2 linked regions of the Drosophila melanogaster genome follow. The protein of the gene in region 1 interacts with the protein of each later gene in a pairwise test. Each region holds a gene or a part of one and is shown in the gene's direction. Other genes may lie near its edges.

The links.
Region 2: the proteins of S6kII (region 1) and CG18301 interact in a two-hybrid assay, tested with the Drosophila melanogaster proteins (one large-scale study listed by BioGRID).

The regions. Positions count from the first base shown.
Region 1 is NC_004354.4:22,528,162-22,536,200, forward strand, and holds the start of S6kII (ribosomal protein S6 kinase II), read left to right. Parts: upstream 1-1,802; 5' UTR 1,803-2,189; coding exon 2,190-4,341; intron 4,342-4,694; coding exon 4,695-5,278; 3' UTR 5,279-8,039. Other genes in the region: CG17600 (uncharacterized protein), read left to right, coding at 1-420, 581-1,051, 1,109-1,230.
Region 2 is NT_033779.5:10,530,071-10,534,411, forward strand, and holds CG18301 (uncharacterized protein), read left to right. Parts: upstream 1-1,750; 5' UTR 1,751-1,781; coding exon 1,782-1,919; intron 1,920-2,264; coding exon 2,265-2,442; intron 2,443-2,498; coding exon 2,499-2,860; intron 2,861-2,915; coding exon 2,916-3,506; 3' UTR 3,507-3,577; downstream 3,578-4,341. Other genes in the region: Lip4 (lipase 4), read left to right, coding at 8-185, 244-605, 786-1,337.

The DNA.
Region 1 (8,039 bases):
CGCACCATTGATTCGCATGATTCCACCACCGGCAGCATGGATACCATTGTGGATCGCAGCCTGAATCCTGAGGAACTCCATCAGGTGGTGACCACCATCGAACATAGCACGAATACCACGAACTTGGCGGGATCGGGCGGTAGTCTGACCAACTCGCAAATCGGCATGCTTCAACGGGATGAGAATCGAAAACAGCAGGAGGACCAGGAGCAGGCGCGCCAGGATGCCCAAAGTCACATCTATTCGAGTCCTGTCTACGATGAGAAGCCGCCGGCGGTGAAACTCCTATCCGCCGCCCTAGACTTGGATGCCCAAAAATCCCAGGCAAACAATGATGACGATAATAAGCCCAATCTTATTTCGCACCAAGAGTTCAAACAACAGCTGCAGGAAGCTATTGCTTCGCGGCAACCAAACCAGGTAGGTCCTACAAAAAGTCAACCAAAATTAATCAATTTGTATCAGTTGAATCACCTAATAGGGCTAGAGAATCTTTAATTGTCCATTTCTGTACTGCCTTGCTCTCATTAATCCTCAGACAATCGAATATTGTACCAAACACATTTTTTCTTCTGTGCAGGTGAATGGCACTAAGAGTGGGGCCACCACTTTGGACTCCAGGATCAGTCGTAAACAGCGCTGTCCACCGGAATTTATTAAGTACAAGGAGGGCAGCGAGGGTGGAGGCAGTGGCTCATCGCTTTCCTCGAAAGATCGGCGCAAGCGCAAGGCGAGCAATGAATGCTGCTCGGCATTTCCACTGCAAATAGTGTTGGGCACTCTCCAGTTGCTCCTGGCCATATCGCTGGTGGCCCTGGGATCACTTCTGATCGTCCGAGAGGCAGCGCTCTCACTGGCGGGATGCGGCATCTGGACGGGATTGATAGCAGCCGTTACGGGCTCCCTTGGAGTGGTGAGCATGCGCAAAACCCAGACAGCGTTTTTGGCCCTCAGTTTGGTCTGCATCGCCAGCAGCACCCTGGCTCTGGCTATTTCCGGCGTGGGATTGTCAAGGGACCTCAACAGGATGGCGGAGCAAAAGGGTGAACAGGTAAAGCCGGGCTCTTCGCATTGAGGCATGTTTTTTTAATGGTTTCATCCATTCTAGTTCGACTTGATCGATACCAACAGCGAGGTTTCCGCTGCCTGCGGCCTAATTTTTGCCCTGTTTCTTCATTTTGTGGTCAGTATTGTATCCGTCTATCGTTGCGCCCTTCAGATTTGCACTAAGTAAGTAAGCTACTCCTACTACTCCTACTTTTATATATGAAAAGTGGTTGTTGTCCACTTTTGAAGCAATAATAATACTGAATCTATAAGCACAATGTTTTTTTTTTTATTGTTTTTAAAAGCGCTTGTACGATATCCATTAGTTTTTTACCAATTGAATTTGGAATGTTGCGGCTAATATAAGTAAGTAAGTCTGCAAAACCGTTGTATTTATTTAGCAAAGTTTCCGGAAATCAATATAAAAGGGATATAGAAATTTATAATAACGGTTTTTAGACGGTTTACACAAGATAACTTGTTTCGTGACGACGTTTTCGTAATGAATTGGTATTTTTCGCGTTTGGTATATTGCTAGACACGGTCACACGGGCCAAATCATTCTCAAATAAAACTATATTTATATGTTTTTTTTTTTTTAATTGAGTTATATAGACTTTTAAAACCGAAAGAATGTATTAAAAGTGTAAACAAAAATTTGCTGAATACGCACAGTAAAAACATCGGCTGCAAAAAGTAAATCGATGTTTTCGGAAAACTGAAACTATCGATGTAATCGATGGTAACATCGATTTTTTTGCAGCTCTAAAAAAACTTTATTGTGAATGTGTAAATAATAGTGATAAGAAGCAACACAGCTGTGCGGATTGCGAAGCGGATAGTAAAGCAGACGGCGTACGAAACGTGGGCGCATTAGGAAAGCGCTGCTTGTTGGCCGTAGGAGCAGCAGGGAAACCAGAGAAATCCGGAGAGGCAACAGCGCAGTCGACTGCGACGCCCACGCAGCGGAAGTAATAAAAAAGAAAAGTGAAATCGGAAGTAGGGAGAGTTCGGTGGAGGAGGAGCAGCAGGAGGAGTTGGAAACGCAGGGGGAACTCGGGCTCTAGCATTGTGCATCAGGATCTGGAAACAAAGGAACCGCTAGGAGCAGTTGCCTCACAACGCTAGCAGCCACCGAAGTCATGCCGCTGGCCGATTCGCAAAAGGATCTCCGCCAGCAGCCTCAGCAGCAGCAGCAGCAGCAGCATGTGTCCTCCACCAGCAGCAGCAACAATGCGGAGCAGCAATGCAGCAGCAGCGGATTGGGTCTGCAGCTGCGCCAGCGCATGCAAATTACCTCGTCCGGCTGCAGCAGCCTGGCGGTCACGCCCATGGAGCACACGCCCACCGAGGACGATGAGAGTGGCGGAGGCAACAGCGGTGTCACTTCCTCGGTGACCACTGTGACATCATCGCAACGCCGCCAGCAGCTGCAACAGGTGCAACAGCAATCTGCTCTGCAAGCGGCCCTCGAGCAGCATCACATCTCACCAACAGCAGACTTGGATTCCGCTAGGAAAAGGCCGACGCATCGAACCTTGTGCCCGCCGCCAGAACTTATGGAGCTGAGTGATTCCGAGTCCCAGGGAGGCGTGGAAACTGGCGGTAGGAGAGAAGGGGCTACTGGGCGAAGTGCACCTGATTTAGAAGACACCGAGCCCCTATATGAAACAGAAAACGAATTCGAGCTTAAGGAAGTCATCAAGGAGGGTCACGACAAGGCCGATCCTTCCCAGTTCGAGCTCCTACGGGTTCTGGGCGAAGGTAGCTTTGGAAAGGTGTTTCTAGTGCGAAAGATCATAGGCAAAGATGCAGGAACACTCTATGCCATGAAGGTGCTCAAAAAGGCCACCCTAAAAGTAAAAGATCGCGTAAGGAGCACAAATGAACGAAAAATACTAGCGGACGTGGGTCATGCTTTCATCGTACGTCTTCACTATGCCTTCCAAACTCCCGGAAAACTCTACTTGATACTGGATTTTCTTCGTGGCGGTGATCTGTTTACCCGTCTATCCAAAGAAGTAATGTTTACGGAAGAAGATGTCAAGTTCTATTTAGCGGAACTGGCGCTAGCTATGAATCACCTACACACATTGGGCATTATCTACAGGGATCTGAAACCGGAAAATATTCTACTGGACGAGCATGGCCATATAGCCTTGACGGACTTTGGTCTATCCAAGCAGCCTTTGGATGGCTCAAAAACATATAGCTTTTGTGGAACCGTAGAATACATGGCGCCGGAGATCGTGAACCGAAAGGGACACGATTTTGCCGCTGATTGGTGGAGTTTCGGGGTGCTCATGTACGAAATGTTAACGGGGAATTTACCCTTTCATGGCCAAACCCGCCAAGAGACTATGAATCAGATCCTTAGAAGTAAGCTGGGCATGCCGGAGAATTTGTCGCCAGAGGCGCAATCCCTGCTACGTGCTCTCTTCAAAAGAAACCCCCAGAATCGTTTGGGTGCGGGTGCCCAAGGAATTCTGGACATCAAGGCGCACTGCTTTTTTGCCACCATCGACTGGGTGAGATTAGAACGAAAGCAGGTGCGTCCGCCTTTCATACCGGCGGTTAGCCGTGACGATGCCTTTTACTTTGATGTGGAGTACACCTCAAAGTCCCCCAGGGATTCTCCGGGTGGCCCGATCTCCGCATCTGCCCATGAGATCTTCCGCGGGTTCAGCTTTGTGGCTCCTGTCCTTCTGGAAGGTCAGTGTGCTGGCTCGAATATGTGCTCCACCAGCGCCAGTCCTCTGCATAGTATAGCTCCTATTCCTGCTGCTCCAGTGGGAGCCCCTCGAACATTACCTGGTGTTCTTCCCGGAAACTTCCATGCGGAATATAATCTACTGCAAGAACTGGGACGTGGAACCTTTTCAGTTTGTCGGTTGTGCGAGCATCGAGCCTCCAAGAAACATTACGCAGTAAAAGTAATCGAAAAGGCAGCTGTGGCCGCAGCATCCACATCCACTTCTGCCGATTGTTGGGAGGAGGTGGAGATTATGCTGAGGTACGGCAACCACCCAAATATCGTCACTCTGTACTCTGTTTACGAGGATGCGGGGTCCGCATATCTTGTGATGGAGCTGCTTAAGGGTGGCGAGCTTCTCGATCGGATACTTGCCGTGGGCCAGATGTGCGAGAGTGAGGCCAGCGCGGTGTTAAGGACAATTGCATCTGCGGTAGCATATCTCCATGAACATGGCGTGGTCCATCGAGATCTTAAGCCTTCAAATATGATATATGCCAGTATGCGGCAAACTCCCGAGACCCTAAAGCTCTGCGATTTGGGTGAGTGCGGAGCGGAACTAGTTAAATATATTTTATTATAGCCTTGCAGTAAATTTTCCAATTGCTGACAAACATGATTCACTTTAAAAGCTAAACTTTCGTAATTTTTAATTCCTTTAACTATTATTTGTTTTCTAAGTTACTTTGTTATTTGCAATTTTAAAGGTTTCTTTTCTCCAAACAGAAGGTTTTTCATTTTAAGATCTTATTTAGCCAAAGTTCCATCCTATTGCAATTGAAATCATTTGATAATATTTAAATTCAGAAAGCATTTATTTCTGCAAGGCTATATATTTTTCTGTGCGAGTATTTCTTGTTGGTAGAGCAGGAGTAACCTTCCGATTTCCGCTTAGGTTTCGCGAAGCAGCTGCGCGCGGACAACGGCCTCCTGATGACGCCATGCTACACAGCCAATTTTGTGGCTCCCGAGGTTCTAAAGAGACAGGGCTATGACCTGGCTTGCGACATCTGGTCGCTCGGTGTGCTGCTTTACATCATGTTATCCGGCCGGACGCCTTTCGCCAGCACTCCAAATGATTCACCGGACGTAATACTGAAGCGCATCGGATCAGGACAAATTGACTTCACAAGCAGTCGCTGGGCACTGATCAGTGTGCCGGCCAAAGAACTTTTGCGTCAGATGCTACACATAGTACCGGAGAATCGGCCGACGGCGGCGCGAATACTTGAGCACGACTGGCTGCGGGAGCAATTCGCCGGCGGCGTACAGCTTACAGAGTATGCGGTGGCGCCCGGATCCCAACTTTCGCTGGGCGCCCAGCAGCAGCAGCAGAATCACATCTCCATGGCCTTAAGAGGCGCTGTTGATGCCACTTTCCGGGCTATTGCCATACCCCAGGCGGCGAATGTGGGACCCGTAGAACTTTCCATGCTCGCCAAGAGGCGGGCCAAAGATCGAGCCAACCTGCACTCCTAATCCTGGGCGGCTGCATGGTGTCCGCGGCGCCAGGCCAAGCGGCAGATAGTCCGACTACTTTTCCGAATCTATAGTATTCTAATCCAATGCTGCTGTGCCAATCCGCGTCGTCTTGTCAAGGACAATGCGCAGAAGCTTGGTTCACATCCACAAACGCTGGGCAATCCTCGCCAACGCTGCCGCAGCGCCAAGCTGCGTGTGGTTTAGGTTTTGGGGGAATCGGCCTAACCTAAAGTATTTGACAAGTGTTAATTATTTATTTTATATGAAAGCATGCCAATATGCCAAGGCCATAACGCACTGTGCGGGGCATCTATATACACATATATATAACTATACAAATACTGATATACATCTATATATAGCTATTTATATAACGAATCCTAAAGCAAGGGCCTAGAGAGCGCGTGTGAATGTGGCGCCAGGATCATCCCAGATGATTCCTGAAACCACATTATTTATCCCAAACTGGAAATTAAAAAAAAGCCTCTCGCCCAAGTTTACATATTTTTAATTAAATTAATCGTAGCTAAATTTTTCAACATCACCGTGTTATTGTTGCTTAATTAAATTAATTAAAATGAAAAAAAAAATGGAAAAAAGTATTAGCAAAACAAACAAAAATTAAGAATAAAAGCCGCAATCCTTTTATATAATAATAACTTTTTTCGCCAAACTATAAAGGAAGAACAAAGAACCCAAAAAAAACTGTGTAGAAAGATAAGAAAATCAAACCACAAGAGTTTCCACAATTCTTACTTGGAATGTCAATTTGCACAATGAAATATGAAACTAAGCAAAAGATAAACATAACTACCATATTATACAGAATGTGTACATAAAGCGGAAACTGTGCTTTTCGGGTTTATAAGGCAAAGGATATTAGAAAAGAGTATTTTATTAATAATTCCCTAAACAATAAAAACCGACGTTCTTTCCAACACTGCACAAGGGTGCATATTGTTATTTAATTGTAATTAAGAAACGTAAATCCTGCTAACTTGTCTTACAGTCGCGAAACGCACAGTTTAGTTGTAATAACGCCGGGGAAACAGTTGTGACAACATCAAATTGGGTTTCCATTTTGTTTGCTAACGTCTTCCAACAGAAATTATATCAAACAATATACCTTTTTGCGCTGTAACCAGATATAGAAAGTTCCGACTTACCATTGGATGATTTAGAACCGAAACCGCGATATATTCCATCATACTCGTACTGAATACAAATAGGATAGCGTCGTATAAACGACTTGGGTTAATGCAGAGAATTCCATTTGTTTGTGCTAGTTTCTCTAAAAACTGCACGATCATCAGTTCCCAACAACTTGTTTCGACTCTTCGAAGACAATTCCAATTTTGTTGTATTTTTGCCAAGGAAAACTTGTTAAAATTATGCTAGAGGGAAATATACAAAAAAAAAAAAAGAAAATACAAGCAAAGTGGAACGAAATTGAATAAATTATGTAGAAGAGCCATGTGAATCCTTAGAAGCTATGTATGCCACTTGAAAAGCAGAAGTTTCTTGTTTGCGAGCTTGTGTGTGTGCATAAGAGGCTGTGTGTGTGCTTCTTGTAAGTGCATGTGTGTGTGTGCTAAAGGATTATTGTGCTGTGCCACTACTGAACTTACTGCTACCAAAAATAAAACAATAACTTCATATACATATTTACACCACCTAAACAAGGTTAGTAAAACTTAGAAATTTTTTAAAAAAGGATAACATCCCTTGAATAAAACTGTATTTTCGTGGTGTTATTAAAAGGAGTTGGAGGGGGAAAATGGTATGATTATCCTAAAGTACATATATAATTAGCTAGCTGCGGAGGGAAAACAATGTGTACACATTGACATATAATATAGAAAATATTTAAGAAGGATCTTGAGATGAACATTTCGCCTAATAGTTGTCACGATAAACTTTTGCAAAATATGTTGCGTCTACAGCAATGATTTATACTTAATTACCTTGTTTTGAAATGACGACAACCAAATTGAAGGGATACGTCGTTTCCCTGCTTCGTTTTTTAACAGATTCATACACAAATTATAAAACGAAGTTGAGACAGGCAGAAAAAGAATTTTAGTCCACGGGCTGATGAGAAATCTAATCCAGCGATTAGATTAAAACTCATGTATACAAAAGTGGCCTACTATGATAAAAACTGTAATCATTTATCAATAATTCCGAACGGTCTCTTACAAAAATGTTCGGGTTGCACAAAAAGGACAGAGACAACAGATAGTTTAAGCATACAATACAAGCAACCCACTTTAAAGCCAACTCTCGACTAAATTCCCCAAGAACATACATATATATCTTAATCATATATATGAATGCGTGAATATATTTTCTTAGTAGATTTTAACAGCTTCCAGACTATACATACATTCAAATGATTGAATTCCGATATGAATCATTTAATTAATAAACATATTCAACGAAACTGATTCGAAATTATTGTTAAGTTGAATTTTTCAAACCAAGCAGAAGGAACCTAATTGAAAAACAAATAACCAATTCGAATTGTTTCGATCTAATTGGGATATCCAAAATACATTTATAATGTCGTATAAGACAGCAAGTGAATCATTTTCATTATTTCGCTCGATTTTTATCTTTCAATATAAGGATCTGTACCAAAATGGTTTAGGAACACTCTTCGGCTGTTTATAGAGTAAACAAAAATTACCTGCCTTTAAAAAATGTATTCATCCAAATATTAACTTCAAATCAAACGACATTCCTAATGTTAAACATA
Region 2 (4,341 bases), on another chromosome or scaffold:
TCTGCAGTACAGTCTGATAAAAAAGTACGGCTACCCGGCGGAGAATCACACCTTGGAGACGGATGATGGATACATCCTCACCTTGCACAGGATCGCTAGACCGGGAGCAACGCCAGTGCTTCTGGTGCACGGACTACTGGATAGCTCAGCCACTTGGGTGATGATGGGACCGAACAAGGGACTTGGTAAGATCATAGGCTATCTCCAAATGTCCCATGCTGATTGCGTTGCTCTGTTCCAAAGGTTACCTGCTCTACGATCAGGGGTACGATGTCTGGATGGCCAATGTTCGTGGCAATACGTACTCGAGAAAGCATGTTAAGTATAGCACCCACCATGCCAAGTTCTGGGACTTTACATTCCACGAGATGGGAAAGCATGATATACCCGCCACAATGGACTACATCCTCAATTCCACGGGCGTAAGCCAATTGCACTACATTGGTCACTCCCAGGGAACCGTTGTGTTCTGGATCATGGCCAGCGAGAAGCCCGAGTATATGGACAAGATCATTCTGATGCAGGGATTGGCACCGGTGGCATTCCTCAAGCACTGCCGCAGTCCGGTGGTCAACTTCCTGGCCGAGTGGCATCTATCGGTGAGCGTAAGTTACCCCATCCTAATTATCCCATCCTTTCAAAGAGCGTTTTTGCAGTGGAATACATCCAAATTTAATGTAAATTTAATCATTGTTTATTATAAACACGATCCAGTGCAAAACATCTTTCTCCTTCTCTTCTCATTCAATTTGTTCATGTTAACTTATATTATTTTAATATTTTAGTTGGTCCTCAAGCTGATTGGCGTTCACGAGTTTTTGCCTAAGAATGAGTTCATCAGCATGTTCAACCGGATCATCTGCGACGAGACCACTATTACGAAAGAGATTTGTTCAAACGTCATCTTCCTGACCACCGGATTCGACAAGCTCCAGCTGAACGAGACTATGCTGCCGGTAATCGTGGGTCATTCTCCGGCCGGAGCCTCCACCAAGCAGATGCAGCATTTTGGACAGCTCAACAGATCTGGCGGTTTCCGGCAGTATGATCACGGATGGCTCAGAAACCACTGGATCTACGGAACCATTGACCCGCCATCCTACCACCTGGAGAATGTTCGGGCCAAGGTGGCACTATATTATGGCCAAAACGATTGGCTGGCTCCGCCGGAGGATGTGGAAATGCTGAACCGCAAGCTGCCCAATGTCGTGGAGAAATATCTGGTGGACGACAAGGAGTTCAACCACTTGGATTTCATTTGGGGCATCGATGCCCGGGAACTTTTGTGGGATCGAATGCTGGAAATAATGCGAAATCATGAGAATTCAATTATCTAAAGGGGAATAGAACTATGGTTATAATTTAGTTATTCACAGTATATTATTATTAGTTAGGTATTTATTGTTTAGTAGAAACTAAGACGATTTACAACAATTTTACAACGATAAAAGCCAATAAAAACAACTTACAATTAATACATTTTTAATATTAATTCCCATCTTTTCTATTCCTATTTTTTGATATGAAAATTAGTATATATCTTTTAATTCGATTTTGCTAAGCAACAAACTTTTTGCTTAAGTTACATGAATGATATTTATTTCCGAAAGTATTTAAGTTGAGACCCAAGCGGTAAATGTAAATTTTATTCATAGGTTAAAGTGTTGCACTTTTATTGCCTACGTACAATCTTTTTTAGTATCCCAAAATTTTACTTGCTTCAGTTTCCACTTGGAACTTGTATACATCGGATTAGTAAAGTTTGTCTCTAATAAAGTCAGATGTCTCTATCATCGTCTTCGAAATTTCTTATATGGACCTTCTTTTTGGGCCTATTCCAGCTGGAAGCCAATGCATTTTTCAATCCTTTTCAACTGGCTATACCTTCATCAGTTTTAGAAGATGCACACTTGAATACGGTAAGTTCAAAAATCATTCGGGTTCCAACGATTAGTAACATTTGGAATAAAGCATAGGAAGTTTATCCAGATCTAAAAATCTAGATTAATATAGTGCATTATATTTCGACTTATAAAACATCTGTAGATATAGACACAATTTGTGTGAGTGTAAGTACATATATAGCTTTCTAGGTTATAGCTCTTACTATAAAGGTCGGATTACTCGCTGATTGGTCATAGTTTTATAATCTCATGTATTCTAAATACTACGTACACTCAATACTACGTACACTCAAAGTATTTAAGGGCAAATCTCTAGCGAATAGTTATATTAAGCCGTGTTTGTTTCTCCTGTTTTTGCAGATACAATTGATTTCCAAATATGGATACCCGGCGGAGAATTACACAGTGCAGAGTGACGATGGCTACTTATTGGGACTCTTCAGGATCGCACGTCCTGGAGCCCTGCCTGTGCTGCTGGTCCACGGACTAATGGACAGTTCCGATACCTGGGTGATGATGGGTCCTTCCAGTTCCTTAGGTACAATCGAATTTCATTCGTTTTTTAAGTGCACTCAGAATGATTTTCTTCCAAAGGATACATGTTGTACGAGCAGGGCTACGACGTCTGGATGGCCAATGTGCGGGGTAATACCTATACGAAACGCCATGTTCGTTACTCCGCCGAAGACTCCGATTTCTGGAACTTTTCGTTCCATGAGATGGGCATTTTCGATCTGCCTGCCATCATTGATTACATACTGATGCAATCTGGATTCGGTCAGTTGCACTACATTGGTCACTCCCAGGGATCAACTATCTTCTGGATTTTGGCCAGCGAAAGACCAGAGTACATGGAAAAGATCGTTATGATGCAGGCATTGGCTCCAGTGGCCTTCCTGTCCCATTGCCGTAGTCCCATTGTGAATTTGTTGGCCTCTCAGGATACTGCAGTTGCCGTACGTTTAAGATTTGTTTACACTTTTATACATTTTAACTAATATCTGGTTTTAGTCCTTCCTAAGCGCGGCTGGCTACAATGAGTTCCTGCCCAGCAACAGTGTGATTGATCAGTTCAAGCGTTATGCCTGCCGGGATATCATTTCCAGCAGTGTCTGTCAGAGTCTCTTCTTTATTCTTTTCGGTTTCAATGGCCAGCAAGTGAACCAAACGATGTTGCCGATCGTAGTGGGTCACACTCCGGCCGGTGCATCCATCAGGCAGATGCACCACTACGGCCAGCTGAGGAACTCTGGGAAATTCCAGCAGTTTGACTACGGACTGTTGAACTTCCTGCATTATGGCAGCCTGTCCCCACCGCCTTATGAACTGGAGAAAGTCAAGGCCAAGGTGGCAATCTATTATGCCAAAAACGATTGGATAGCTCCGCCGGAAGATGTGGACATGCTTTTCAACAGGTTGCCCAATGTGGTGGAAAAGTATCTCGTTCCGAATGAAAACTTTAACCACTTCGATCTGGTCTGGGGCAGAGATGCAAAGAGAATTCTGTGGAATCGAATGCTTGGAGTTATGCAATCAGTTGTTCCATACTCCTCCTACAATGATGGCGATAGTATCACAACTGTATTTGTAAATCGATTCTAATCAATGTTTTCAAATGTAAATGAAAGGAATTTTACAAAAACTATCAAATAAAAGCATTCGTCTTTGTATCTAAACAGTATTTACTCATTTTATTTATAAAGAATGTTTATCAGCAGTTGCAGAAGACAACAAGTTATACCGATATGATTATAACAAATATATTCAATAAACGTATTTGCATAAAATTTATTATATATTCAATAATTTTTTTTATTCACAATTTCTTTACCCGGTTGAATAATAAAAATAGTTATCGGCTATAAAGTCACTTCCATTGGATTTAATTTAATAGCCTCACATTTATTTATTTGAACTGCCTTAATCGCATAATTTAGGAGCGTGTTAGCTAAATAATTATTTTCGCTTGGAAACCGGTTTCGTTCAAACTTTATTAGCTTCAAATTCTATGACTGTTAACAATTATATGTGATTTATCAGTTTACCAATGCGCTCTATTCAGCTTTCACATCAATTTTACACGACCTTATCCAACTGTCAAGCTGTTGTTATATCCACTTCCATTTCCACACACACACACACACACACACACACCGTGCTGGGAAAACTCGTTTAATATATTCGAAACAATGAGAGATTGCTATTTTATGCATATTGATTGCCCTGATTCACGTGAGATCTAATCGGGTCAAGGAGGGGGCGACTAACTAGCATCGCCAACTTAAATTAGCCGCTTCGATCAAAAATGGCACACGACTAAATTCCATTGCTCAGTGGCAATTGATCGCGCAACGGGAGTGGTTCTAATTCTAAAAGCTAAACGACTGCCAATTAATTGCAGGAAGTTAATCAAGGCAGGATAGAAATAATTGGAAAA